Linked DNA regions of Rattus norvegicus. The protein of the gene in region 2 interacts with the protein of the main gene of each other region in a biochemical or structural test. Links are inferred from orthologs where the notes say so. Each region holds a gene or a part of one and is shown on either strand. Other genes may lie near its edges. The genes, in order: Cdc7, Mcm4, Dbf4 and Mcmbp.

Region 1 (7,485 bases), on a different chromosome or scaffold from region 2:
GAGCATGCTGCATTCTTTGAGAACATATGTAAGCATGCTGCATTCTTTGAGAACATGTAAGCATGCTGCATTCTTTGAGAACATATGTAAGCATGCTGCATTCTTTGAGAACATGTAAGCATGCTACATTCTTTGAAAACACATGTGAGCATGCTGCATTCTTTGAGAACACATGTGAGCATGCTGCATTCTTTGAGAACACATGTGAGCATGCTGCATTCTTTGAGAACACATGTGAGCATGCTGCATTCTTTGAGAACACATGTGAGCATGCTGCATTCTTTGAGAACATATGTGAGCATGCTGCATTCTTTGAGAACACATGTGAGCATGCTGCATTCTTTGAGAACATATGTAAGCATGCTGCATTCTTTGAGAACATATGTGAGCATGCTGCATTCTTTGAGAACACATGTGAGCATGCTGCATTCTTTGAGAACATATGTGAGCATGCTGCATTCTTTGAGAACACATGTGAGCATGCTGCATTCTTTGAGAACATAGGTGAGCATGCTGCATTCTTTGAGATGGAATACTAATTTCAAGACACCTATGTCACACCTCCCCTGCGTGCATCATTCAGCCTATTAACCTCAAACAAAGTGCTTACACTAGGTAACAGGCACACACTGCAGTCAGTGCTGCCCACACTTCCTGGTTATGAGCCTCTCCTGAAGTCTGCACACAGGGTCCTGGCACATCAGACCTTGGAGCTCCAAAGCAAGGGCATTTCACAGCCATTCTAAGCACAAGGAGTCCTAACAAGTATTCCCATTTTCTACATTGTATTTTCCATGAGTGAGTAGGGTAGGGGCCGATATATGCAGTTCTTAACACTCATTAGTTAGTTCTGATATGTATTCCTGGTTAAGAACTGCTGGCCCTGGGGCTGGGCACACAGTGGCTTAGTTACTGCTGGGGTAGGCCAACTGAGAGTCTGTCCACACCACCCACTGACTGAAGCACACCCAAACCTTTGGGAAGTAGCAACTATAATGCTACCTGGAGAACAGACACACACATCGTGGTCATTTGAGTTTGGGCTACCAGAGCGAGGCTGAAGTGACTCTCGGCACCCTGTAGACTGTGCCGCTGCAGTCTTAACCTGTGCTGCTAATATTTATGCTCATGAGCTGAGTGTGGTCCACACATCTGCAATACAGGCACTGCAGAGAAAGGCAGGAGGAGCCCTGTGTGCTCCAGATGGGCCACAGGTACAGTGAGACCCTGTCTCAAAACTAAAGAAATCCCTTGTCATGTGTGCATGCATGTGTGCACACATGACAGTATGCCATGATATTTCTTCTCGGCCACCCTGACCACACAGACACCAAGGGCTAGTAATACACATTTCTGTTACCTTCCTGCACAGAATCCTTACTTCAGGGCCAAGTACAATGCTTAATATACAACAGACTTAAACTTACTATAAAAATGTACAGAATAAAAGCTAATTACAATGGAAGACACAGATTACAAAGCTGACAAAGAAAAAGGAATGTAAAGTTCAGCCTTAAACACTAGTGTACACACACAGCACTCTGTAGTGTACAGACTGTCTACTCTTACACACCAGTCACTAGTGCTGTGTGTGCTGGCACACGGCACTCTACTGTAAACAATAACTGTTTAAACAAAGTAACTGTTTTCAAGCAAGTGAATGATTTCCTAAGGGTACATACATGAATACTGAGTAAGCTTACTTGTAAGGGGAATTTTGTAACATTTATTTAGCAATTTATAGGCGACAATCAAAAGCATCTGCTTGTTCTAGGATTTAAAACTTACCAAAAGCTTTAGCAGCCTGGATAGTTTCCCTGGATCCTCGAATTGTCATGATTTGGGCCAAAGCAGTTAAGTCATCGCTGGCCTTGTAAAACGGGTACCGCCCACTGAGCAAGGAAAGGAATATGACACCTGCAGACCACATGTCAATCGCTGTGACAGAAAACATACTTTAAAAACTAGCCCGAAGTTCTCAATGTATGATCACCTAAACCAGTAGCTGCAGGACTTGACTGAGAGCTAACAGCATCTGAGAAGCCCAAGTTAAGACACCCAGGCTCAATCCATCAGAACTCCCTCAAATACTTATGGAATAGATACTGAAGGTTCTTGGGAGACTCTAAAGTGCGACCACAACCCTAGCTCAACACTCTTTCTGCAGAGCAGTTTTCTCTCTTGAGCACGCTGCTGGATTAGAAATAGCTCATCATTAGAGAACTGAAAGTAAATGTACATTTTATAGGGTCAAAACAAATTCAACAAGAGCTATATGTGAAGAAGTCTGGATGTTCTTCAAGATGGTGACTTGGTAGATACATATCTTCCATTCAGTGAGACACACTGAGCATTGACAACAGCACAGCTACAAGCCTGGCTTTGAGCCCTAGCACCTGAGCAGAAACAAAGCCAGGCTGACCTGACCTTTCTCCTAACACCCTAGTGTTACGTGCTTGGAGTTCTCCTGGCCACTCAGCACTGCCCTCTCTTAGTTTCATTTGAATCACTGTCTGCTCAGTCAGAGCTGAGGCTCCTCAGAGTCCAATCTCTTCGCCATGCATTCTCCCGTCTACTTCCCTCCTTTACCCATGCTAGACTGTGTTTCTTCCCGGGCTCCTTCCCTGGGCTCCACACTGACCTCTTGCTCTGTAGGACAATCCATCTGGATGTGCCACAGATCTCAACCCAGCCACGGCTCAGTGCAGTTCTACCTCTGCTCTGACCAGGCTCTTGGTCATCCTGTCTTGTTTCTGGGCACACGCCCATGTCCCTCAAGCCAGTACTGTGAACATTCCGAGAGCTTTCCCTTCAGCCCACCATGAGTGTCCACACGCAGCACCTTCTTGGCTTGTCTGCCATCTGCTCACCTTCATTTTCATTCTTATTACAAACGTGTGCACCCAGGCCCTCCTCACCTCAGCTGGACCCCGGCAGGATACTAGCCTGCAGAATCTACTCTCCCTGCACTGGCCTCCTAGGACGCAGCCATTCTCTCTCCCCCTGAACAGCAGCTATGGCACACAGTCCCAGCAGTCACTCGGTGCACATCGAACGTCTCCTGACTCCCCTTTGTACTAACAACACTACTCATGGCCTCCCCCTCAGAGATGCTGTTTCTTGAGGCTCTTGGGCCCTGCTCAATGCCAATCTCTGACTGGATAGGCTTTCCTCAGGTGCCTTTTCTATCGCACGACCTTCCTTTCACAACCCTTGGGGTGACAGACGCTCCTCAATGCCCTAAGAGCGTCAGCACGTTTGACAGGTCATTTTGTGCTCATGAGCATGTGTGTCCTAACGAGAATGGGGACAGCTGTGCTCATTCTACAGCATGACAGCAAGGCAGGTGCACAGTGGAGCCAAGGACCCGCAGGAGCCGCTGCTCATTTAACTCAGAGTCTCCTAGGCTCTATAGCTTTTTGGACTCTAGTAACCTTTTACCCTTTTCAAAATATGTTAACTGCTATTATATTATTTTCATGGAAGAAAAAAAAGGAAAAAGAAAAACTCCACCTATACCACAGAGAATTTCCAAAGTACTAAGTAAACAGGTGAGCACTGCGATTCTAACCCTGACCAAAAACTAAAAGAAAAAAGAAAAAGACTGAATATACAGTGTCCCTGACAGCTGACAGCAAGAATTCTCTGTGAAATTATCTTTCAGATAGTCTGAACAAATATAATCTATAGGGTGGAGTGGGGTGGGGGTTATTTTTAAAAAGCAGCATTAAGATCAGAAGTTGCATAAAGAAACACATCGTCTGAGAAGCCCTCTGCAGGGTGAGAGCAGGGCCCTTCTCCAGCTCTGTACCTGTAGTCTGGTCAGGACACTTTGTCAGGACCTCTGGCGCTCTGAATCCTGGTGTGCCTGCCCTAGGGGCAACCTGCTGCCGCCTTAAGAGGAAGAAATAAGACAGCCAGTTATGCTGAAGTTGGACTTGGAAGACAGAGGCTAGCCTCGCCTACATAAATAGTTCTGGGACAGCCAGGGCTACTTAGAGACCCTGTTTCAAACACACACACACACACACACACACACACACACACACACACACACACACACAGAGAGAGAGAGAGAGAGAGAGAGAGAGAGAGAGAGAGAGAACAAAAATCCCTATGTAAGCTATTAATTTAGTTCACACAAAATCCTGTCCTGGTAGCAGTATAAATAAAATTCCTATAAGCAATGAAAACTTAATGTGATAAACATTTATTCCCCAACCTCCACACCCTGGCCTAATCCTTATGCCCTGGCCTTGTCCCAGACAGATTTCAACACAATTTCCAAGTATAAAAACAGATGGCAGATAATAAAAAACATAATAGAAAAATATAACTTGACAGGAATTCATATAAAAACTCTTGTTTGGAGTCCTGAGTTACTGATATACTCATTCACGTGTAGATTTTAGTTAATCAGGAAAGATCTGTGAAAACAACGTCTGAAGAGACGCATCCTTGTCCTGGTTACTGAGTGCAGGCAGGGTGGAGAGGGCAGAAACAATGCCATCTGCAAACAAAGGTCTCCAGGGGTCCTACCCATCCAGCTGCACTCAGCAACTGTGATTTCCAGAGAAAGTGGTTTCGCCCATTGAGTACGTGCCAAGCTGTCTGCTCACTGCACTGCCGTGACTAGGGCCTCTGTCACTCCCTCTCACTCACAAACCAGTATCCCAGTCATTTGCCATGACTCTCCAGCATGGCAGGAGCATGTTACCTCGACAGGCAAACGCTGCACACTCTATCTGTTCCATAGCAGTCGCACGTGAGGGCAGCTGGGCAGGACCTGGCAGAGTCCCTCATCGAGCTATTCACAGCCTTTGTAGAAACGGCCATCTTTTTTGTTGCTAGCTTTCTTGACATTATGTCCACAGTCTTCGATTGCTTGATGAGCTACAAAAGAAGTTGTGACACTCAACACGATGCCTTCCAGTGTGAGCACATTACAAGCAGCGTCAGAAGCATGAGCTTCACTCAGAACTGCTGAGGGTACTACCAGATTGCAAGTCTAAACACATTTTAAGGCCACTGAACATGGTTCTACATGGTTAATAACAGCACAACTAGGGAGGCTGAGGCAGGAGGATTCCAAGTTTGATGACAGTTTAAGCTATGTAAAAAAAAAACCCTGTGTCTCAAAAAAAAAAAATGTGTAAAAACTTTTTTGGGTTTTCTGACAAATAATATTAAAAATTACTATTATATTGGCAAACATTTAACACTGTAGTAGAACACTTCCCGATACAGCAGGAAACACTGTACCAGTACTAACAGTTACTAATCACTGAGGTCTGACTCCATGTCACAACCGTCGCCTGCAGTTACACTGCCCACACCAGCCTGCTGCTCATCACAGGTGCCTTCGCCAACTGGAAACCATCCGACCTGAGGGCACTGACTGTGGGAACTGGGAGGCCTGGGAGCTCACGTGGGAAGCCCAACCTTGTTCTGACTGTTCTCTAGAGAAAGAATGGTAATAGATAATCAAAATAAAAAACTCCACCCAAAGGAGTCTGTGAAAGACTGAAGACTGAATTCTGAGTAAACGTGTGAAGTAGCAGTGCCTCTGCCAAAGCCAAACAGGCGCTACCCCAGTGGACTCGCTGACTGAGCGGTCCGTGCGGCTGACTGACAGCTGGGCTAGGAAGCTACATTACTTACTTTCTCTGCAGGGCTCTCATGTGAAATGGAGCTGTGTATATTGAAATTTCTTTCTCCAAAAACAGAGCGCTGGACAGAAAGGCCTACAGACCCCTCCTACAATACCAACAGAGACAAGGAGAGTTAAGGGTTAGATCTGTAACACTTTCTGCCAGCTGTCCTCTGCCACAGTTTTGAAAGACTAAAGACATCCCAGGCACTCGGGCACAGAGAGGAGACACAGTCTAGGCAAAGCTCGGCACCCACACCACGTCACCACAGTGCACACCCACGACACTAAGAACTTTAAGGCCACCCGCACAGGCGCTTCATCTTCCTGGACAGCCAAAATGGAGACAGACATTTCAGAATTTCCCCTGTAATAATGCTCTTTAAAGAGAGAGGGGAGACATCTAATTTAAATTCTATAACATGAATTTTTGTTTTATCATATAATGTAATCTATAACTGCAAACCATAAGCTGATAGAGTAGAACATTTCAGTTTAAACAAAGGATATTGATTCAGTAACACTCAGTACTAACCAACTAAAACATGTAATGTAGGTTTGCAAAGGCTTCTTAACCCTAAGTGCTCTCCTAGTATTAGGTCTCCCTCTGTTGGTTGATGGGAAACATTCCTAAATCGTTCTTATTGAAAATGTAAAAGGTAGAACCTTTCCGTCTTTTCCTTGCTTAATGTGAATCTGTGCGTTTGCATAGGATCTTTTGACAGAAGTTTTTGTGGTGATGTGCTGATCCACATTTTTAGGTGCTGGGCGACTCAGTGGGCCCTTGTGTCCAATGACTCCATGACATTTGTTTCGTGAACAATCTTCCTGCTGAGCTTCAGACTGGACAAACTTGAGCAGCTCTATCTTTGTGTCACGGGTTCCTTGGGCCAAACCGAAGTCCACCAAGGCATACCTTAGAAGCAAATCGAGTATTATCACCCTCCTAGAGAGATTCAATCTTAATAACATTGTGATGTTGTCAAATCACATCCAAAACTATACTTCATTCTAGAACAATTAAGAATGTATAATATTCTTTAAAAAAAGAAAAACTAAAAATTCCCAAGAACTTAATAGCTAAGGCTGGACATTAAAGCTGTGTCCTTGAACCAACCGGCCGAGTGCTGTCTGCTGCTCCCTGGCCTGCACCAAGACGAGGCAGAAGAGGACTTAGCAGAAGAGGACTCAGCAGAGACAAACGACAGAACCCTGCCTTGTAGCAGGGAAGATGGCGCAACAGCAGAAAATTTCTAACTAAACAAGGGCCAGTGAATACTTTTAAGTCCTTACCATACCTAAGTATGATATTTATAAGGTCGTGTCCATATAGAATCAACAAAAATACTCATGTAATAACTTTGGTTTTCACACAGAAAATGGATTATGTGATCCAACATTCTCATTAAAACAAAAATAAAAACAAGGTCAAAGGTCAAAACAGGCCAGGCTCCAATTCCTTCCACCTAAGTTCGTCTCTCAGGATGCGCATCATGTTCCTAACACAATCTCACTTTCTTCATTCCATTCCCCCTCCCCAGTCACACTGAGAACACTGCGTCTCAGAGATGGGCTCCGCAGCGTGAACCCGATGCCAGCGCTTCCTGGACTCTTGGCACTCACTTTTTCAGGCGTCTATTGTATAAAAAGTTACTGGGCTTCACATCACGGTGAACAATGCCAAACTGGTGAATCCGCTTCAGAGCTACGAAAAGGTTGAACATATATTCTCGAACTTCTTGAAAGGAAAGAGAATTCAAAATGTCCTAAAAGAGAGTTATGAACCACATCACAAATTGTTTCAATTTAACCATTTAGCTGATTAAAGTTAAAAA
Region 2 (7,485 bases):
CTCATCAATGCAACATATGCCATTGTCACTCAGTACAAGGGCACCTGTCTGGAGGACAAGCTGCCTGGTCTCAGGGTCTTTCATCACATAGGCTGTGAGGCCAACTGCACTGGAGCCTTTTCCAGATGTGTACTGGCCTCTGGGAACCAGGTTGTATACATACTGTAGCAGCTGGGACTTGCTGGTGCCAGGGTCACCACACAGAAGGATGTTAATCTCAGCACGGAATTTACCCCTTCCAGTGTGACTGAAATCCTTCCTTGTTCCACCAAAGAGTTGAAGTAGGATTCCCTAAAAAAACAAATACATCTAAACATTCATTTGTTGTACAGTGTATGCTTAGCATATGTTTTAGAGGTTCTTTTCTATTTTATAAGTTCACAGTATTACCAAATCATCTAAGAGTACTCAGGCCATTCTAAGTATTCCTAACCTAAGTAGACATTATCCTAAAACTTGACCAGCATGAATCCCTGTTCTGACCCCACATAACTTAGGTTTAGGAACACGATTGTACACAGCAGAGATGGGTCTATAAACAACAAAATAGTAACACTCAAAACATGAATATGCAAAGCACGAATAAGTGTGTACACCTCCCCTCCCCCCAAAATTAACACTCAACTATCCACAAGGCAGGAGTCAGTGCCTTGCTATGTTACAGAGCAAAGAGTTCCAACCTCTGGAAGACAATAACAGAGGCAAATGGACCTTTAGTTACGTGATTCTAAATAACTGTGAATCTCAATACCAAGCTAAAACATTGTTACCTTTTTTATATCTTCATGTTCATAAATGCTGGGAGCCAAGGCTGAAGCAAGCCGCTCATAAATATCTGGCTTCCTGGAAAGTTCCTTAAGCAATTTCACACGTTTCTCTGAAAAAAGTTTCTGTTCTGCTTCTTCATCAAGGCCATGCAGACGTTTTGCATCCGTTTTCCGATAATGGATGACATCAATGTGGGTTTTATAGACAGACTTCACGTTGCTCACTCTTGGATTAACTCGAATAGGTACTGCTCGATATATGCCTAAGAACATAGAGAGGAGACACAACTACCTTTCCACTTCTCTTCTGTAAGCTCAGTGGTCAGCAGAGGCAATGTGCAGTACCTAGGGGCTCCATCTCACTTGAGCACCCACTACCTTAGTCTTCCAGGCTAAGGCTTCCATTCAGAAGTCAAGACACGCAAGAAATGGCCAAGGTGGGGAAGAAACAGGTTTTTAAGAACAGATCCAAAATCATATTTGTAATCACCTGTGTTATATGAGCTTAGGGAATTATCTGCATAACTATTCAGTACACAATTGTAGGTGCAAAATGAATAACAAAAAGGCTGTGTCATGACAGTATTTAATATAGTAATGTCATTTCCTTAAGCTAAAAGTAAAAAGAATTTACTTAGTAATTGGCTGAACAAAATACTAAAGCCCATACCAAAAACTTGGAAGCAAAAACCCTAAAAACCCAAATCTTTAGAAAGCAATTTTACGAATAGCAAGACAGACTACTTAAAGGTGAAGGGAAAATGACAATTTAGGACTAATACTAGAGAAAGGATATTTTCTGCATATCTTCTCATGAATCTAATTAAGGGCTGGAGATAGAGTTCACAGCAGAACATTCGCCTAATATATGCAAAGCCTTGGGCTTGACCCCTGCTACTGCATGCCACCATCACCCCAAAGAAGGTAATTCAGAGAAATTAAGTGGTAAATAATACTTTAACCACTCTAAATGTATACAATCTCTAAGGAAGGTTTTATTAAACTGGTATATCTGATGCTCTTCTTTGGGTTTCAAACTAGCTTTGAACTTCACAATAATTTTATTTCCTGTTTCTTAAAAAAATAAAATCTTTAATTTATTATTAGTGTATAAGACGCTTGTGTGTTTGCACGCATGTGCCAGGGTGTGGTGTGTGGAGGTGAGTGGATACTTTTGGGAACTGGTTCTCTCCTTCCATCATGTAGGACTAAGGGAAGGAACTCAGGTCATCAGAATTGCATGGCATGTACCTTGATCCCCTGGACCATTTCTCTACCTTTTGAGGACTAAGCCTGATCGCCTCATCCTTATAGCACAGATCATGATCCTTTAACAAAACAATGTAATTCTCATTAAAAATAGAAAACCAGCTTATAGCGCTAGTGAGATGCTTCAGCAGGTAAAGCCTGAATCAATTGCCACCAAGCCTGAATCAATCCTCAGGTCCCAATGTGGAAGAAGAAGAAGACTTCTATAAGCTAATTCCCTGTTTTTTCACCCCAATATACAAAATTTCAAAAAAAACCCCCAGCACTTATGTAACAATTACACTTTACTCACGGAGGAATGTGAACTAGATTATTAATGACATTTTGAACACTCCGGTTTGTTCCTGTAGGTGATAAGAGCACTGGAGGGAAAACTAAGGGCAAGGGGTGGGGGCAAAATTGGATTGTAGGGCTCTCTTATGTTGGGGAAGAAATCCTGACTTACTGGGTAGCTGGGTCAGTGAGCCCCAGACTCAGAAGTCAGGGATCCTTGGATTCAAATCCCCATGAAGAACAATGTTGTCACTCAACCCATCACCCTTGACCAAGTACCCACAACATTCCTCCAAAATGTAGAAAGTCTGCCACATGCAAATAGCATTGAAGACAGGACAGTTTCTGCATGAAGAGACAGCATTTAGAATCTAGAAACACAAATTATGCAGCAATGAATTGCAAGTCAAAAAGTCAGCAATAGCTTGCTATATGTAAAGTGTTCTGTCCTACTCTCTAAGTAATGTTAACCCTTACCTGTACACGTAGGAAATAGTAGAAAAACATGCATTTATGAACCCCAGTTGGCTTTCTGTCCTTGAGTTACTAAATAAATACTCCCTAATGCTGCTCTTGTGACATCAACATTACCAATCTGAGACATATGCAAAGTTCTGAGAGATAGATCTACATGGCAAGGACCCACCAGGACCCTGATTTTAAAACCTGCATCTGAGAACTTAAAGGGTTAAATAGTAGTAAACCACAGCATAACTTTTGCCTTTTTGTTACAAATCTACATTCTTACCTGTGACATTCACTCTGTCCCCTGGCTGAACCTTGTCTACAAGATCATTGTGGGCAAAAAGGACAACAGTGTGAGGTGTCTGCCCAGCAGGCATATCTTCAGGAGACTCTTGAAGCTTGATCTGAAGAAGAGTAAAGAGAAAAATTCAAGAAACAAACAAAAAAACATGGAAAATAATTACAGGTCTCTGTATAGTGCTTATACGATGTTTGAGACATAGTATAGCAATACTAAAGCCTCAGTGTTCTCTAAATTCAAGTCACTAGTAAAACCAACAAAAATGGAAAGAGCAGAGTTCTACCAAGGAGGGTTGAGGGTGAACTGACAAACTAAATTTGGCTGAGGATTTACAGAGAGGCAGGACACAGGTAGCAGTGTGTGTTGGAGAACCTTATCATGGGTGCAGAGGGGCCACGTACCATCTGCTTGTCAGAGAATAGTGAACGGTTGTGGATCAGTGCCATACTGTGGGTAGTGTGGCAGTGTACGCAAGTGCAGGGCTCAGCAATTCGGCCTCGGTCCATCTCTACCCGGGTGGTATGGGCACAGACTTGGCACTGGAAAAAGGCCTCCTGCATCTCGGGAATCAGCTGTGACGTTCTGATAACCATGCCACTGATGGTGATGAGCTGATCAATGTCTGTAAAGGAAGAAAAGTTGGCTTGTCCACCAGCCACTTCCCTCAGCCCACCCAGGCCTGGGTCTGCCACTAAAGCAGAATCTCAACTCAAGTAGAAGTATAGATGACCAGAGATCCAGCATGCACCATCAGCAGAATCAGCTGGTTAGTATCCTCAGAACTAGCCTAGGATGCTCTACCTATGTCCAGCCTGCTTTCCTCTCAGCACCAGTATACTTCTGAACTTTTTATTTTATTCTCTTTCTCTTTCTGCTCCCCTTCCCTCTCTCAGTATATGAGCACATGCATGCCACAGTGCAAGTGTGGAGATCAGAAGACAATTTATGGAAGTCAGCTCTCTTGTACTATGTGAGTGCTAGGAATCTAACCCATGTGGTCAGTTTCAGCATCTTTACCCATTAAGCCATCTTGTTGGCTAACTGCTGGCCCCCGTCTGGCCCTTTGTTCCTTAGGTGTACTGCTTAGAAGACATCAACAGGTGAGAAGTTTGATGTGTAGGTATATTGTCTCCCAGCCTTTCATCTCATCCACAAAACCACCTGGAAGACCTGAAATCTCAGGTAAAAATCTTGGGCTGAAAATGCTTGTGGTATGGGGAGGGTCTGCTTATAATTTCAACAGCAGTGAGGAGAAACCAGAATTTTTAGGGCTTGCTAGGCAGCCAGACAGTCTAGTCTAGTTGCTGAGTGAAAAACCCTGTCATTAACAATCAAAAAAGCTGGATAGCAATTGAGAAATGATACCCTACATTTCCTCTGGCTTGCACAGCATGTCCTTGTATACAAGAACAGTCTAGACAACATGGACAAAGCATTTATGACCCCGAGGATACTCTGAGCCTCCTTTTCTGACACCTACCAAATGAAGCAAGGACATAGCTGAGGACATCATAAATATACACATCTATTTTTATAGTTAGTGCCTACGAGAAAAAAAGCACTTTGCCTATCAGTAACACTATCTATAAAACAAGCTTCTTTTACACTTTTGCTTTCCATTTCTACTCTTGCTTTTATGCCTCTCCTCTAGTTGCTCCTTCCTTAACACCTCTGCTGGACTCAAAGGCCCTCCTGTCCCACCAGTACACAGTGCTCCTCACAAGGCCTTTAAATATATTTCATCCATTTTCTTGTTTGCCACTCTGGGCTAACCCTCCCCTCCTTCCCTTAAAATTTATATGCAATGTGCCAACTTCTGAAATTAGCTGATCACTCAGCCATTCTTCTTTCCAGAAGTAAGATTTTTTAAAATAAAAGTATGATTTTACCTAGTAGCTATCTCCCTTACTACCTTTTTTAAAGGTTCACACATGGATGAGTGATCTACACTAATTTACACTACAAACTTCACACATGGAAACACATAATTCTGACCTGTCCAAGTTAAGATGCTAATGTCTCATAATTGAGCCACCATCAGAATCTAAATGAATTTATATGTCATGTGCTTCACTGAATTACACGAGTGGAAAATCTTTCTCTTCTAAAATTTCCCTATTTACTTTGAAATAAAATTTAAATTCTTTGTTGGGATTCTAAGCTTTCTAGAGCTAGCTTTTTGGGTCCCAAACCCTGTCTCACAAATCCTTGCTTCAGCCAGCCACAGATGCAAACAGCATTTTCTATTTTATCCTTGCTTTCTGTTATCTAAAAGAAATTCTATCACATTCACTTATCAAACTCTATTATCTTTCACAACCAACTTTTCCTTTATAGGTTCAGGACTTTGTCTATTCCCTAAGGCATAAACAGACACTTATCTTCTGCTCCTGCTTTCTTTACCCCCCAAGCTAGAATTTTCTTAAGTTTAAGGAGAGCTCAGATCATCAGGTTTGCTCAGCAACTGCTTTTCTAGCTGAGCTGCCTTGCTGGCTTTTAGTATTTTTCTTCAGTGACTAAAAAAGTGCACCTACGAGCTAGGGATTTATTATATTTGGATAAATTAATTTTACAGTTAATGAATTGTTAAGTCATTTCTATCAGGTATTCCAGTTAAGTTAAAAAAATGCATACTAAGTTGATAAAAGTATACAGAAGAAATCTTTTCAACTTCTAATCTAATGCTATCGTTACCCACCACACAAACCTTGAGATCTCTTTCTACATAAGGCATTTCTCTATACTAAACATATTACCTTCTGGATTCAAGTTTCTCATACTCTTTGTCTTCAATGCATTAAAAGGTCTGACTTGAATCTGATGTTCTAAGATGGAGTCAGGATAACGGTCAAAGAAGATCTCATTGACAGCCATGTCAAAGGTTGGTATAACCTCCTGTGAAAACAAACAGCAAGATGTAGGGGACGAAGAGATGACTCAGAGTTGAGAGCATTTGTTGCTCTGTTAGGCAACAGGATTCAGGTCTCAGCACTTTGATCAGGTGGCTCCTAAGCACCCTTAACTCCAACTCCTCTTCTGAGTTCCACAGAATCAGGAGTTCAAGTTCTCTTCAACTACAAAACTACTTTTGAACATTCCCCTGCCTCACAGGCTTTCAATTAACACCCCCTCCCATAAAACCCAAGAAACCACTAGTAAGGTTCATTATTTTTAAGAAGCATTACCAATTAGTAAATATAAAAAAAGTACTCCTCCTATTAATTGTAGAAAAACAGTCTGCTTTAAGAAATAGTCAACCTTTGCTAGTATCCTTTTTACCAAAATATAATTCTGCTTGCCAGGAACATTCTTGGTAAACATTTACGTTAATCAGGAAGCTCAAAGTCAAATTCTTACCTGTGGGTAGGAGATGAGCTGTCTATACAAGTTTTTGCCAAATGATTTTATGTGTTCACAGTTCACATTTAAAAATGGCTCTCCTGTAATATTAATCTGTAAGATACACGTACGTCATATTTTACTAATCGTATTATCTCAAAATATAAAACTTTCACTTGTAAATCATATTTGATTACCTCTCCAAGTCGTTGCATGTACAAAGGTTGCGTAATATCTATGCCAACATTTTCTTCTTCTTTGGCCAGAGGATCAGTAAAACATTGAAGGAATCTCTTGATGTAGAGAAACAATATTACGTTTTAATGAGTGTAAGATATGTAGCTATTATTAAGAGAGAGAGAGGGAGAGAGGGGGAGAAAGGGAGAGGGAGAGGGAGAGGGAGGGAGGGAGGGGGGGAGAGAGAGAGAGAGAGAGAGAGAGAGAGACCAGCAAGAGGGCCCGTAACTAAGGATACCTGATTAGAAGCCTGACCACCTCAGTTTGATCTCCAGAATCCACATGGTGGAAAGAACCAGCCTCTACAAACAGGCCTCCACATAAAAGCTGTTCATGACATGCTTCCCCAACCCCAGCAATAAATACATGAAAAAAATTGAATATATAGCTATGTGTAAAAAAAAATAATTTCTCCTTTTTGGGTTTGAGACAGGGATCTCACTAAAAAGCCCAAGCTGGCCTTGAACTTTCAGTAATCCTCTGCCCGAGTGCTCAAGAGATTAAGAGTTTACCACCTAGCTGATCATGGTGGTATGCACCTTTAAGAAGGCACAGGCATGCGTGAATTTCAGGCTAGCCTGGTTACAAATGCAGCTCCAGGACAGCCAGGGATAGGTACATAGAGAAACCATCTTGAAATAGCAAGAACTAAGAAGAAAACAAAGTATATCAGCACGTTGTGCATGGCAGACTCCTTTGAGGCATAAATTCTAACCCACTGACAACCTGCTGTGACACGTTATGGCTGTTTACACATAAGTTATACCTTCTCCCAAAGTGTGCACTGAGTTTTAGTGCACATAAGAGTACCTGAAAATGTTCTTTGCATGTTGC
Region 3 (7,485 bases), on a different chromosome or scaffold from region 2:
TTACATCCTTTTAAACCTTTATGCTAAAATACCTGTGTCTTGCAATAAATAAATATGGATACTTTATTAGCTGGTCAATGAAAATGATCGTTGCCTAGAAGGGAAAAGGAAACAATTTGCATTTCACTAAATGTTGCTCCTGTCAACAGCTAATTCTCAGTCAATGGTAGCTTAAATTAACTTATCACAAACTTTGCTTCATTTTGTTTTTAGCTTCTTATTTTTATGTAGTTTCATGTAGTTTTATGTAGTGTGAATGAACGTGCTTGGAACACATATGATGTGTGCTCTCACATGGAAATCAGAGGTTAACTTGCAGGAGTTGGTTTTCTCCTCCTGCCATGTGGGTCAAGGTGCTCGAACTCAGATAATCAGGTTGGCAGCAAGGACTGCCAGCCCATCAAGGCGTCTTGCTGACCCTTCTTACTGCCTTTCACACTGCGAATCCTGAAGGGATTGGAGCTTTGCAAGTCTTCTTACTGATTGTTAGTTACTTCTGCTTGGTTCTCAGTATTCTGTGTCAGTTGTGTTTATGTGGTATGTATGCGTTTTGATAGTATGTTCAATTCCCTACCCCTGGGTAATGAGTGATCTTTAATAACATTGACTTTGTTATGGGTGTTACTACAAAACATGCTGGGGGGGGTCCATTTTCTGAAGATTTTATGCTTTTGAGAGTAAAGGTTCTGATCCTCTGCTATGTTTAAGCTTTAGGAAATGTTAAAACTTAATGATTTAAACTGAAGTGCCAGGTAGTAGCTAATTCATTACATCTAAGTAAAGTGTAAAATTCAATGGCCTGTTTGTACTAGCTATATTTCAGATGCTTTCTGTCCATTTGTACACAGCATAGTGCAGGGGAAGAAGAGTTGGTCTCTGGAGAAGAAGGCTTCGTTGAGGTGATTGTGATTCCAGCAAGTCACTTCCGTTTCCATCTCCAATATATGTAGATAAGTAGCAGGAGAGTGCATGGACTACATTAATTAGAATAAAGTACTTAAGAATAGTATCTAGCATGTGATATTATTGTTAATGAAACTCCCATTTTACTTCCTCAGAACTATGGGCTCAAAAATGCAGCATGAAAAGCGCCAATTTGTAAGATATTAGATTACATGAAATTGGAATTTGTTCACAGTGTCTTTAAAGAGCTTTGGAATTTTTTATAAATACTTTGTTTTCTTCTAGCGAGTTGAAGAATTTCTCAGCAAAGATATCAGTTATCTTGTTTCAAATAAAAAGGAAGCAAAGTATGCACAAACGTTGGGTCGAGTTTCTCCTGTACCAAGTCCGGAATCTGCATATACTGCGGAAACCACCTCCCCTCATCCCAGCCATGATGGAAGCTCCTTTAAGTCTCAAGACAGAGTAAGTGTGTCATCGATGCTTTGAGACCTCATGGCTTTCTTTTTGTTTTAAGACAAGGTCTCACAATGTAGCCCTCTCAGACTGGTCTTGAACTCTCCCTATGTAGTCCAAACAGACCTCACAATTCTCATTCCTCCTGCCTTAGTGTCTCCCAGGTCCTGGGCTTACAAATGCTTTCCCTCACACCTGACTCTGGGCTTTCGGTAGCAGGGTTACAATGCATAGGTGGAATGGTTATAATGCCAAAGATCTGTGGCTTTCTCGCCTAATTTTGCTGTCATTTTGAAAGGTGATTATTTTTCCTTAATAACACAGTAGTCAAGTTGTCCCCTGATTCTTAAAGCATGCACTTACAATTTAGACAGGTTGCTTTTGATTTTTAGAATAATTTACAGCAAAAGTAAATAGCCAGCCATTCTTTTGAAGAAAAATAGAAACTTTTAAAACTTTCAAAGTAGATAAACCAGCCATCTACAGTGTACTGACTGACTGTGCACAACCTTGAAGTTAAGCATATTTTTACATATCCAGAGGTTGGTGGGGGGAAAAAATCAAAATAGTATTTTGTGACAAGTAGAAAATATTTGTGTAAATATTGTATAAATGTTAGGGCTGCTTGCATGCTTTAGGTGGAATTTAGTCTTTGTGACAAATATTATGTGGTCTACAAGGCCTACAGTGGTATACATTTGTCCCATTGCATAAAAATAGTTTTGATCCATGCTTAAAATTTTTCTTGCAGTACATTTCTTTCAAATTGGAAGACAAAAGGAAGGGCAAACTGATATAAATACTTAGAAAAGACAGTAAGAGATAAAACGCTTAATGTACCTAAGTTGTTATACTAATATAATTAAATTGGCATTTGAAGCAGAGCCACATGAAAAGCAGTTGAAATGCACAGGAAACATGAATTGCAAAGGCAGTCTGTGAGGAAAGGCGGACACTAGGTCAGGCTTGTGCTGTTCAGTGAGAATGACTACAACTGCTTCATAGCCTTCCAACCACTGTTTGTGCTGCCTTACTTTAAAGGTGAAATAATTTATAAAAGCTGTGTATAACATTTATTTTTCTTAAATCTTCATTTAATATAAAGCTAAGCCAGGCCTGTTGGCCCAGCTCCTTAGGAATGTGAGGCAAGAGAATTACAAGTTCAGGGTAGTTAGAACAACTTAGTGAGACCAAATCTAAAGTTAAGGTTTGAGAAGCATTGGGGATACAGCTCAGTTGTAGAATGCTGCTAGAATGTACCACCAAAAAGGAAAAAGAATCAAATCTGATGTTAACCTGAAAAGTGTAGATTTTTTTTTCTTTTTCCTGAGACAGATTCTCATGTAATTCAGGCTGGCCACAAATTTGCTATATAGCTTGACTTTAAAGTGTCAGTGGCTGTTAGCTATTTTCATTTACTAAAGAATTGGTCCTCTTGAGTCTCATTCAGTTTCTGCTTTTCTTTTTGCTTGGTATGTTTGTTGATGTTCTCTGCCCTGGAAAAAAAAAAAAAGAGGGAAAAAATTTCAATTGTCGTGCCAAGAGAATAATGAAGCCACTTTTCACTGTAAATTTACTGTGTTCATAGCCATTGGAACAATATAAACAACACTTATCTACTTTCAGGGATTTCTCTCTTCTAACTTTCTCTCTGATGAAGTACTGTAATTATTTCCTTGGTCTTCTTACAGGTGTGTTTGAGCCGAGGAAAGTTGTTAGCTGAGAAAGCTGTCAAGGATCATGTGAGTAGGACTTTGGAATTCACAGCGTGCGGGCTTCAGCTGGAGCTCAGCTGGGACAGTGCTGGTCTAGCACGTGAGATCCTTAGCTCTTCATAAGCCAGGCATAGCAGCATACACCTGTCCTAACAACTCCAGGGAGCGAGAGGACTAGAAGTTCAAGGACAGCCTCAGATACATAAGGGATTCAACACCAGCCAGAGCTAGAAACATCCAGGGACAGGGAAGAAGTAAAAACACGTGATGCATATTTTGCTTCTTTAGTGTCTTATTTTCTGAGACAGTTTCTCATGTAATTTAGGCTGGCCTCAAATTTGCTATATATCTTGACTTCCAAGTGCTGCCATTATTGATATATGCTGTCATATATAATAGGTGTACTGCTATATTTTATTAAAAATTTAATTGTGGGCTGGCTAGGAGACTCAGTGGGTAAAGCTGCTTGCTGCCAAAACTAGTGACCTTAGGTTGATACCTAGGACCCAGATGGCAGAAGAGAAAAACTGACTTGCAAATTGTCTTCTCATGTCCAAGTGTGCACTCTGGTGTGTGTGCACTGATACACATACACACAAGCAAACATACATATAGAGTAAGTAAATGTAATAAATACTCATGGAACTGGTAATAAAGTTGGCAAAATGCTTGTCATGAAAACAGTAGAACCTAAATTTGGATGCCCAAAAGCCACATCAAAAGTGAAGAGCCAGGCATGGCGAGATGTGCCTCTGATCCTAGCACTAGTGTTTTGGGAGGGCGAGGGTAAGACCCATGGGTCCCTAAAGGTAGTTGGCCAGTCAGCCTAGCTGAATCAGTGACTTTCAGTTTCAGCAAGTGACTCTATCTAAAAAATTTAAAGTGGGGAGATTGAAAGACATTTGGCATTGACCTCAGGCCTCTGCGTCACATAGACATGTATACACCACATACACAAAATTTTTAATTGAAAGTTGAAGATATTCTGGAGATACTCCAGAATATATAATTTTTAATGAAAAAAGCTCAAGTTACAGCATATCTCATTCTGTCAGAAATAGAAACTTATTTTTCCTGGAGGAACACCCCCATCTTGTGGTCATGCTAAACATTACTGTAAACTTTAAGTTACCTTAGAATAAACATCTAATTGTTAAGAATATACACTAATTGTTAGGCCAAGCACAACAGGTATACCTTTATTCCCAACACTTGAAAGGCAGAGATGGGGATTTCTGACTTCCTGGCCAGCCAGGGCTACAAAGCAAGACCTTGTTTCAAACAAAACAGGAATATATTAATTGGAAACGATTTAAGAATGCCAAAATATAAAACAGGGTCCTCATTTCTATTGTAATTCATTAGGGACATTTATGCATAATCTCTTCAGTGGCATTAAGATTTAAATAAATTTTAAGATTTTAAAAAGTTTTAAAAATAGTTTTTAGACAAACTTGTTTTTTTGTTTTACAGGATTTTATTCCTGCTAATAGTATATTATCAAACGCCTTATCATGGGGAGTAAAGATTCTTCATATTGATGGTAAGATGGTCTTTTGACAATATTTGTTGTACATACCTATGTCTGTCCTTTGGGTCTTAGCTTTACATATAAAAATTTTGGTAGAAGGGGAGTATCTCCAATGTTAAACCCTTAACGTGAGGTTACTGCCACTTAACATCGCAGATTAACTCTAAAGGTAAAATTGCTAACCTTCAGTTCTTCTTTCAATAAAGACATTCGCTACTACATTGAACAGAAGAAGAAAGCTTTGGGTGCACTCAAGAAACCAAATACTTCTGGGAGGGATTCGGTATGTAGTTTGAACTATTCTTAAAGGCGGCAGCCTGGTTTTTGTTTTTGTTGTTTGTGTGTTTGTTTTTAATATCTATGAGTAATTCCCCCATAAGTAAAAAATTGGTTTCTGAATTGTGTGTCATTTGACTTGAAGCTTATATTCATGAAGTAAAAACTGTTTTGGGGGTAAGAGCATAGGTTTTTTTCATCCTTTTTTGTTGCTGCTATATTTTAAGAGATATTTTGTTTATTCTGTAGAAGAACACTAAGATTAGCCTATCATATAAGAAAATCCAAAGGTGTTTGCTATTGTGATTGTCCTATTGTTCTCCTATCCTCGGAGCGTACAGTCTTTCCTGTTTTCATCTTCAAGGCCTCTATACAGAGTCACTGTCTACACACTAGACTCTCTGATTGTACACCCCTGTCTAACTACTGTTCCATCCGTATACTCCATTTCTTACTGTTCTGCAGATCTCTGCTCCTATATTTCTCACTCACTTTTAACTGACAAGGTATGGAACTCAGAAGCAGTTAGCATATCCTTTGCTTCCTTTCAAAGCCAGCTGTGTTGGTTTTCCTGTGTTGCCCAGTCCTTCCTTGAACTCTTTGCTTCTCCCTGTTCTCTCTTATTTCTCGGACCATTCTTTGTTGGTTTGTTTTTACTGCATAAATTCTTAAACGACTTACATACAAAGAAAAGAAAGTTCTGTGCTCTGGCACATAGAAAGAAGGAGACAAAGTAGTTAGGAAATTTGGTAATTTCATGTAGCAGAATAAGCAGCTTGCACTTCAGGACTCCAGCAACACCAGGGACTTGTATCTGAGGTAGTGTCCATTGAGATTTCCCCCTCTTCCGGTTAGAAATGGGTATTAGGCATTATCTTTGTATGTACCGGCACCTTTGTCACTTACGTTCTGCTACTGAGTCCACCCAGAAACTTTTGCATTTTGAGTGCCATACCCCTTTGATTCCTGTTCAGTATAAATCTTTTAAGTATCTTTTATGTGGTTAATTTTGGCTACACACAAGAAATTGCCAATGTTGTGTAGATTCCTTACCTATTACAATAGTTAGACAAGACTGATTTTGTTTTTGCTGTTGCTGGTTTGTTTTGGTTGGTTTTGTTTTGTTTTGTTTTTGAGGCAAGGTCTTACCAAGGTAGCTCTAGCTGTCCTGGAACTCACTCTGTGGATCAGGCTGGCCTCAAACTCACTGAGCTCCATCTGCCTCTGCCTTCCGAGTGCTGGGATGAGGGTTGTGCACCACCGTGCCTGGCAGTACTGCTGTGTTAACAGCTTTGTTTTTGTCCAGATTGTAAATTCTGTCCTGAATTTATGGCTGCCTGCAGTTTTTAAAGACTTGCAGCGCTGGAGTTGTGGGTTTGTCTTGAGATTTGGGTAGTGATTAAATCTTAGCTCCACTTCCAAAGCCCTTCCTGTGCTCACACTTTGGATCTTCTTGCAGCTTGGGCAATGTTGATGCTGAGTTCGACCCAGCACGTGTGTAGATTAGGGAGCTAGGGATGCCCTTCTCCAGCTTCCTCCTTAATCCTCTACTCATGGATCTCTCCCCGACCTCCTCATGGAGGTGACTGAGGATTTCCCGTACTGCCCACACTACTGCCCGAACTACATTTTGGAGGGCACACACAGGACAACTGGAAGAAAAAAAATAGAGATTTCTCTGGGCTACTGGAGCCTCTTTCCTTATTTCTCTAGTGAAAAAGATGAAGTTAGTGTAATTTTTAAGCTATTCACTGTGACATCTTTATTACTTTAGGTCCTAAATGTGATACACCTGACACTAAAATCTGCTTCCTCCTTAAGATTTTGCTATACCTGTGTAGTGGCTCACTGGGTGCTATTGAGAGTTTAGTTGTAGTCAGTGCATTGACTCACCTGCAGGTATGCATTTCACATAGGTCTGCACTGTTAACTGTACCCTTTCCATTCTAATTAATGTTAAAGGCTCAGTGATCAGTACCAGCGTCACCACTCTCCAACAGAGGGTGTAAAGTGGGCTGAATTCTGTAGAGATGATCAGTACCTTTAATTCTTGAGTGCCATTCAGTTATTTGGTTGAATTGATTTTAAGAAGCATGATTTTCACCCTGTACAATAGCCATCCTGCTTTGATAAAGTATTTTTCCTATACATTTTTTTTCTCTTGAAAGTACTGGACAGTTTTTTCTGTGTTTTTAAACCCAATATTTTCACTTTATTTGTTTTCTTTTTTTAAAGGGGAAAAAAGCTGGTACTGGAATACAAAAAGCAAGAAGTAAGTATTCCTGATACATTGTTTAATTTTCTTTTATAGATTAGAAAAAAATTAAACATGAAGATTAAAGCTTGGGCCCTTCTAACTCAATGATAGAGCACTTACCACAGGTACATGATACCCTAAGTCTAACCTCCAGGATACCCAAATGTATGTATTTAGAAAGCTTTTCTGAGGTAAAGTTCTTTAAACGATTTCTTAGTAATTTGTAGAACATGGACGTTTACTGTTTTAGACAGTCTGGTGACACTTAAGCTATTCTTCCCCATGTTAATAATTTTGTAAAGATGCTTTATTATAGGTGTGGGAGGAGTTTGAGTACATTATTACAG
Region 4 (7,485 bases), on a different chromosome or scaffold from region 2:
TCAGAGTAGCCTCGGCAGTGTGAGATGGGATGGAGCTTAGCGGGCGAGACCCCTTGCTGACTGAGATGAGAATATCCTGCAGGTGCCATGTGGTCCTACGGTCCGGCTAGCGTGGGATAAAATAATTCCCCCTCTTTTTTTTTTTTTTTAACCAAAATAGTCTATTAATTTAGACACTCAAGAGCACGGCAAAATGCAAGACACTGTCAGTTTTACCACTATTTCCTAATGAATTACTCAACATGTCTTCAGTCTTAATTACTAATGTCAGACATTAGTGAAAGCACAGCCCACTGAATAAGAGGCTCAAAATCCTCAGGACTCTGCTGCTTCTGCAGGGCTTGAAGTGCAGACTCGACAGGCTGTTCAGAAGGACCTGGCTTCACTTCTTAAGTCCCAAAGTGGCCAAAATTTTTAGTTATCAGAGTAAATCCGGTCCTTGAGATCCTGACACAAATGTGCATTCCAGATGCTTCCAGATAGCAACAAGCCCTGGGGCGTGGAGATGGGCCACTTTATTACCTCAGCTGAGAGAACCAGGCTCCTATGATTTAAAGCTTCTTTACACTTCATAATATGCACACAAAGGAACAAACTCACACAGACTGGAAACGTAATTCTAAGGGAGTCACTGCCACTGCGTTAATTTTTAGATTACAGATTTGTGCTGGGTCAATCAGTGAATGCTGGGTGCATTTTAAATTATGTCAATTGGCAGGTCTTGTCCTTTGTAAATGAGACCCACTAGGAACATAAAGTTAATACTCAAGGTGAGTGGAAAACAATTGGGTTTGTCCCACTCATAAGCCTTCATAATATTATCTTACTGCTGGAACAAGATGTTGGATGATCCGATATAGGTGTTCCGTGAAGGTGCTGTTCTGTGGGCAACCACTCAGGTTAACTGTAAATTTTCCCAGTGGAAGTACATCTCTTCTTGTATACCTAGGAGAAGGGAAAGAACACAAAACCAAGGGTAAGATACTGAGACGCCATCATTATAAAGTTTGCAGAAGCAGAGAGATGGCTTAGTAGTTAGAGCACTGGCTGCTCTTCCAGAGGACCAGGGTTCAAGTCCCAGGCCCACGGAATAGCTCACAACCGCCTGTAACTCCAGTTCTAGGAAGATGCCGTCTTCTGACTTCTACAGGCACTGCATGCACAGATATGCAGACAAAATAGCCATACATATAAGGTAAAAATAGACATTTTTTATCTATCAGAACGGCAGTTAAATAATAGCCACTTTGAGGAATGGGGAGAGCATCCCTTATCCAAAATGCTGAGACCTGAAGTGCTTTACAACATTTGCAGATTTACTGGCTAGGCCTGGCTGACATGAGCTGGTGGTCACTGCCTCACCATCTCACTTCAACAGTGTGCCTATGACGCAGGCACGGCAGACTTCCTGAGTTCCGTGCTTTTCCATGAGGGATGTCTAGTCAAGCCAAGACAGAGCTCTGATGTGACCCTGAGCATTACCCGCCATCTTAGCTGCCACCAGGGGACAGGAGATAAGATGCTTTCTATCACAGCATTTATTAAAAAAAGTACAAAATCCTAATGTTTTGGGAAATGGTTACAGTATGGCACAAATCTATAATGAGAGAACATCAGGTCATTAGAAAGCTTAGGAAGAAGGCTGACTATGGTGGCATGCCCTTAATCCTAGCACCCAGGAGACAGAAGCTGAAGGATCTTGATGTAGTTCCAGGCCAGCCTGGTCTACATAGAACATTCTAGGCCAGGACTACATAACAAAACCTATCTCAAAGAGAGAAAAAAAAAAAAAGTATTGTGATAGGCTAACTAAATATTAAATCTAAAAAGCAGGTAAGGATGTGTGTGCTTCAACCACAACTGATGGGCCCACATTACAACATAAACCAAAGAATATGCTCGAGTATTAGATGGGAAAACTGTTGCCCACGTGAAAGATAATTTTCTTCTTGCTTTTCTTTTTGGGGGGGAAAAAAAACCAAAAAACCTGCCAGGTAGTGGTGCTTTAATCTCAGCACTCAGGAGGCAGAGGCAGGTGGACGGATCTCTGAGTTCAAGGGAAGCCTGGTCTACAGAGTGAGTTCCAAGACAGCTCCAAGACACCCTGTCTCAACAACAACAACAACAACAAAAAAAAACAAAACAAAAAACAAAAAAACAAAAAACAAAACAAAAACAAAAACAAATCCCAAACCAACCCAAAAACCCAATATGGTGGAGTGAAAGGCCAGGCCCTAGCTGGGTGTGTGGTGTGCACTTCTAATTCCAGCACTTGAGGCAGAGGCTGGAAGAGACCTGTGAGTTCGACGTTAGTCTAGTCTACAGAGCTAAAGACGAGCAAGGCTAAACAAACAAACAAACAAACAAGCCAAAAACAAAACAAACAAAAAACATGTCTCAAAACAAAAACAAACAAACAAAAACAAAATAAAAAATTGAACCAAAACAGGGTGGAAGCATTAAAGTCAATACACAAACTAAATGTACACAAAGACAGACTTCATTGTTTTATAAGCAGAGCCTGGAGAAGTATACACACATAAACAAGCAAACAGGGTATAGGGAGGAGACCAGGAGATACAACATTTGAAGTATATACAAAATAAAAAATAAAACGAGTGCAGAGAAACCAACAGTTCGTCTTACTCATCAGTCACATCCCATCTGGAGACGGAAACAAATGCGTTATGTGAAACGAAGTAAAGTGGGGAAAGGAGTCTGTGTTTGGTGCAGCATTTGTAAAAACCCACTTGAAGACAAAGCTGATTTACTAAAAGACACAAACAAACATCACGGCTGTTCCCTTCTTTCTCCCACACCCCAGTTCCCAGGAAGAGCACAGACTTACACGGTGGAGATGAGATGCAATATAAGGTATTCAGCAGCCAAACTGTCTCCCAAGAGTGCATGAGTGAGGAATCCAAGCAGCTCTGCTCTGACTGGAGACAACTCGGACATGAAATTGGACACAACTGCAGAAGGAAGGAATGGCCAATGAGAGTGTGCACGTACAAGAGCAGGAGGGAGTACTACAATTCTTGAGACAATGATGCCATTAGGGTAAGGCAAGATGGCTCAGAGGGTAAAGGCATTTGCCACCAAGTCTGATGACCTAAGCTTGATCCCCAGGACCCATACAGCAGCAGGAGAGGTGGATTTTCTAAGTTTTTCTTTTACCTCCACATCTGTGCCCTGACACACGCATATTCTACTCTTCCTCAGTGGGAGGACCCTCCAGAATATGCCAGAGATCTAGGAGGTAAGAGACTCTCAGGATTTAAAGGAAGGGACCTGAGATGAAATAAATGCCCTACAGTGGGGAGAGAGAACTTGTACAGTCACCTCCAGCAGAAAGACAGGACATCAAGTGGGATGGGGTTGGCATCCCAGTCAAAAACTCTTGACTCATAATTGTTCCTGTCTGAAAAATCTACAGGGACAAAAATGGGGAAAAGCCTGAGGAAAAGGAGGTCCAGCAACAGGCCCAAAGTAGAATCTAGATCAAGGAGAGGCACCAAGGCCTGACGCTATTACTGAGACTATGGGATGCTCACAAAAAAGGACCTATCATGACTGTCCTCTGAAAGACCCAACAAGCAGCTGAAAGAGTCAGATGCAGATATTTACACCCAACAATGGACAGAAGCTGCTGACCCCTGTGGTAGAATTAGGAAAAAGCTGGAGGAAGCTGAGGAGGAGGGTAACCCTGTAGGAGCACCTGCAGTTTCAATTAAGTTGGACCCCTGAGATCTCTCAGACACTGGACCACCAACCAGGCAGCACAGACCAGCTGAGATGAGGCCTCCGACACATGTACAGCAGAGGACTGCCAGTCTGGGTTCAATCAGAGAAGATGCACCTAAGCCTCAAGAAACTGGAGGCTCCAGGGAGAGTGGGGTTGGTCTGGTGGGGTAGGGGGTGGGATGGGGACATCTTCATGGAGACGTGAGGGGGAGAGGTTTGGGGGGTATTCGATGTGCACCAGTCAGAGGGTAAATGAGGAGGGGGGATAAAATCTGGAGTGTAAAAAAAAAGATTAAATAAAATTTAAAAAAATTAGAAAGTGACATAGACGTGAGAACAAAGACAATCTATACCCTTCGTCGTTTAGGTCTCATCTCCCACAGACATGACTAGAAAACTCCCTGTGCTGAGCAGGGACTGCAGTTCACACAGGGAACCTGCCATCGGTAGGCCCCAACACTCACACTGACAGGTTCTGCTCTCCTCCTTGTTAAGGCAAGTGGGTAACAATGGATTGATGTGCTGCAGCTTCTGGGCTAAAATCACGTGAATTCTTGGCACTAGTGAAGCGGGAGGGCTATGCACTCTCTGCTCTTCGGCCATGTCCGTGCATTCCATGGGGTCCAGCAGTGCAGAGGCATCCCTGGGGAGAGAGGGATACATTGGTTTAGAGATGTCAACTAGCAAAAGTGTAAAAGTAAATGCACTCTGTAGACAACTCAGAATCCTATTCGAGGGGTTCTCTGTCCCTCACTCTAAAGTGCTTTTATCACTCACACCTGCCAGGTCAGCGTACAGTCACTGGGTTTATTCTACTGCCAAGACTGGGTGTCTGACTTACTGCCATGGGTGGTGCCGTGTACATGACAGAGGATGTCACTCAGAAGACCATGTCAAAGCAGATGCTCCTTGCATTCTCAGCAGGTAACGACACTGGGATCTTTTTCTCCAAAATCCACAGGTCTTTATTACTTAGTGTGGAGACCACTCACTTTTATCTTGCTAATGGTCTTTGCGTAACTTTATTCTGATGTGATACTTCTTGAAAGTGTGAGCAAGTGATTAGAAGAGTGTGAACATTCAGGCTTGCTAATCAACAAACATGATACTCATTCTGGAGTCACTGCACAAATGACTAAAGTGTGCGAAGTCTTCAACACTATACAAACTGTCAGATCTCACGAGACAAGTTCACAAATTTGCTCCCAAATCTGCCCCAGTCTGTGCCCTTCCCCTCTGAGCCAAGAGGCCTCAGTGGTCAAGTAATTTACAAGGCAAACTGTTGGTTGTGATGACACACACCTTTACGACCCTAGCATTAGGGAGGCAGAGGCCAGACTGGGCTACAGAGTGAATTCCAGGCTAGCCATGGCTACACTTGAGACAACAAGAAAATATTTGCCAACATTTTGGTGTTGTGGTTGTTTCCTTTTTTTCTTTTTCTTTCTTCTGTTTATGAGATAGGGTCTCACTATGCAGTCCTGACCATCCTGGAATTCACTATGCAGAACAGGCTAGCCTTAACTCATAGGTCTGCCTGCCTATGCCTCTGGAGAGCTGATAGTTAAGGCTCATGCAACCATGCCTGGCTTTCCCAGTATTTTTAAGTATGAAGATTATTGGGCTCTTGCTCTGTATGTAGAAGGCCGATGATGGGCCTGCTGTAAGTGAGCTGGTGGCACCTTCCTTCCCTTTTGCTCTGTATGTAGAAGGCTGATGACGGGCCTGCTGTAAGTGAGCTGGTGGCACCTTCCTTCCCTTTTGCTCTGTATGTAGAAGGCCGATGACAGGCCTGCTGTAAGTGAGCTGGTGGCACCTTCCTTCCCTTTGGCAAAAGGAAAGATGGAGCAAGGTCTACGTCACCACGTCTGGTCCAGACCACACAAATACACAATACCCTCCTGAAGGAAAAAGGACTGTGATGAACATACATGGACAGCTATGTACAAACACAGGAGGGACAGCCAGAGACTAGGAAGCTGGGTCCCAGCAGTGAGAGACCAAAAGAGCTGTGGAACACACAAAGACGATTCTTGGGCACTTCTGGAATCGCATAGTCATGAGGCAGGGATACAGAAGAGCTGGGAAGTGAAATGTGACTACACAAATGACCTACACAAAAGGAATACCAGAATCAAAAGGGGCCATTGTGGAGGGCAGCACTCTGCATACAAAGCCTCACTCTAAAAAATGGGGTACTGGATGCCGGTGTAGACCTGTAGTCCTGGCATGCTGCAGGCAGAGGCAGGAGAACTGACACGTTTGCGGCCAGCCTGATGCACATAGTAACACGCTGTCTGAGAAGACGAAAAAGGAAAACAAAGACACTGGGCACACAGAGCTTCTAAGGATGAGGCTCTTTCGATGGTGGCACTGCTGGCCTTTAAGTCCCTTCTGTGTGCACTGTAGAACACACCAAGGGCGACAGGTGGGCAACTACAGTAGGAAGAAATTAGAACGACAGCTTGTATTGAATGTGTGTGAACTCAGGGCTTTTTCTTTTTTGAGAAGGTCCTCCTACATTACACAGCCCAGGCTCAATTTTTTCTGCCTCAACCGTCTAAGTGCTGAGATTATGTGTGTGCAAATTCATAGTTTCTTACAGAAAATATAGAAATAGAGGATGGGCAGGAGAAAAGTTTGAGGGAAGAGGAGGAGACTGGAACGGAAAGGACGGAGACTGGAGGAGACTGGAAGAGAAGCTGCTGAGAGAACATGGATGTAAAGATTCCACTCTGTGTATTTACAGGTTGTTATGAATATTTTTAAGGGATAGATGTGTATAGGGCTTTGTATGTTTAGGTGGGCAATTATATCTTATCAATTGGATCAGAGGTTATTATGTTGTGTTCTTTCTTGTGGAGAATTTAGTTTGGGAGAGTGTGTGGTGGCAGAGACACTGGGCCACCATGGAGTTGGGATGTGTGTTTCCAGCAAGATATCTATCAGATATCTTGGGGCACTGTGGTGACAGACCTAGTGGGGTAAAAAACAGCTCTTTTACAATTTTACAACAACAGATGGCGAACCAGCGTGATTGCCGAGAATCCACTAGTAATCCTAAGAGTTGAAAGTTTTATTTTCTAAGTAAGAGGGGACCAGCGACATGTTGAATCACATGATGGCCCAAACGCAGGAACCTTAAACAAAGGAAAGGCCTAATAGGTTCCCTGTTATGTGATAAGTAATGGCAGCTCAGAGAGTTAGAGATTAAAAGCTGCTTTTTAAAGAAAGTTGTAAAGAAAGTCTTTCAGGATACTCATATTCCTTATAGCATGGGCTCCGCGGGAATTTTGAGTTGAAATCCTAAGTTAGACAAGCTACTTCTTAAAGACAGGTGTTATCTGAAGGTGATTCAGTTTGTTTTAAGGAGAGTACAGAGATTATCCTATCACGTGGGGATTTTCATCCATGGTTCAGAACTTAGTTAGGGAAAAATTAGTCCTGACTCCAAGTAGAGTATTGTGATATTTACAAGTTATTAAGGTTAAATAAAAATCTGTGGCTCTGGGTAGACAGCTTAACAGATGGATATAGTTTGGGCTAAAGTCCTAGTTTGATAAGTTGCTTATTGATATTAGAGTTGATACGTGTTTAGTTTGTTTTATGAATTAATCTGCTAAAGGCCATATGGCTCGTTGATGCCGGCTAGGGAGGGTTTGTGGTTATTTTTGATATTTACCACAACAGGAAACTCAGATTCTCTTAACGTGGGCTCCACAGGAATTTTGGGTTAATTTC

What was found.
Region 1: of the proteins of Mcm4 (region 2) and Cdc7, one has a biochemical effect on the other in vitro, tested with the Homo sapiens proteins (2 studies listed by BioGRID). The link is inferred for Rattus norvegicus from reciprocal best matches to the Homo sapiens genes MCM4 and CDC7.
Region 3: of the proteins of Mcm4 (region 2) and Dbf4, one has a biochemical effect on the other in vitro, tested with the Homo sapiens proteins (2 studies listed by BioGRID). The link is inferred for Rattus norvegicus from reciprocal best matches to the Homo sapiens genes MCM4 and DBF4.
Region 4: the proteins of Mcm4 (region 2) and Mcmbp form a complex in vitro, tested with the Homo sapiens proteins (2 studies listed by BioGRID). The link is inferred for Rattus norvegicus from reciprocal best matches to the Homo sapiens genes MCM4 and MCMBP.

What each region holds. Positions count from the first base shown.
Region 1 is NC_086032.1:2,953,469-2,960,953, forward strand, and holds part of Cdc7 (cell division cycle 7-related protein kinase), read right to left. Parts: intron 7,417-7,485; coding exon 7,274-7,416; intron 6,567-7,273; coding exon 6,317-6,566; intron 5,758-6,316; coding exon 5,662-5,757; intron 4,894-5,661; coding exon 4,718-4,893; intron 3,895-4,717; coding exon 3,812-3,894; intron 1,939-3,811; coding exon 1,789-1,938; intron 1-1,788. UniProt on the Homo sapiens protein: Kinase involved in initiation of DNA replication. Phosphorylates critical substrates that regulate the G1/S phase transition and initiation of DNA replication, such as MCM proteins and CLASPIN.
Region 2 is NC_086029.1:98,763,993-98,771,477, reverse strand, and holds part of Mcm4 (DNA replication licensing factor MCM4), read right to left. Parts: coding exon 7,462-7,485; intron 6,708-7,461; coding exon 6,612-6,707; intron 6,529-6,611; coding exon 6,433-6,528; intron 5,971-6,432; coding exon 5,832-5,970; intron 3,698-5,831; coding exon 3,477-3,697; intron 3,179-3,476; coding exon 3,058-3,178; intron 1,031-3,057; coding exon 771-1,030; intron 292-770; coding exon 1-291. UniProt on the Homo sapiens protein: Acts as a component of the MCM2-7 complex (MCM complex) which is the replicative helicase essential for 'once per cell cycle' DNA replication initiation and elongation in eukaryotic cells.
Region 3 is NC_086022.1:26,639,098-26,646,582, forward strand, and holds part of Dbf4 (protein DBF4 homolog A), read left to right. Parts: intron 1-1,188; coding exon 1,189-1,368; intron 1,369-3,050; coding exon 3,051-3,101; intron 3,102-4,547; coding exon 4,548-4,617; intron 4,618-4,811; coding exon 4,812-4,888; intron 4,889-7,116; coding exon 7,117-7,153; intron 7,154-7,245; exon of another isoform or gene 7,246-7,263; intron 7,264-7,485. UniProt on the Homo sapiens protein: Regulatory subunit for CDC7 which activates its kinase activity thereby playing a central role in DNA replication and cell proliferation. Required for progression of S phase.
Region 4 is NC_086019.1:192,710,633-192,718,117, forward strand, and holds part of Mcmbp (mini-chromosome maintenance complex-binding protein), read right to left. Parts: intron 4,388-7,485; coding exon 4,209-4,387; intron 2,973-4,208; coding exon 2,849-2,972; intron 946-2,848; coding exon 828-945; intron 1-827. UniProt on the Homo sapiens protein: Associated component of the MCM complex that acts as a regulator of DNA replication.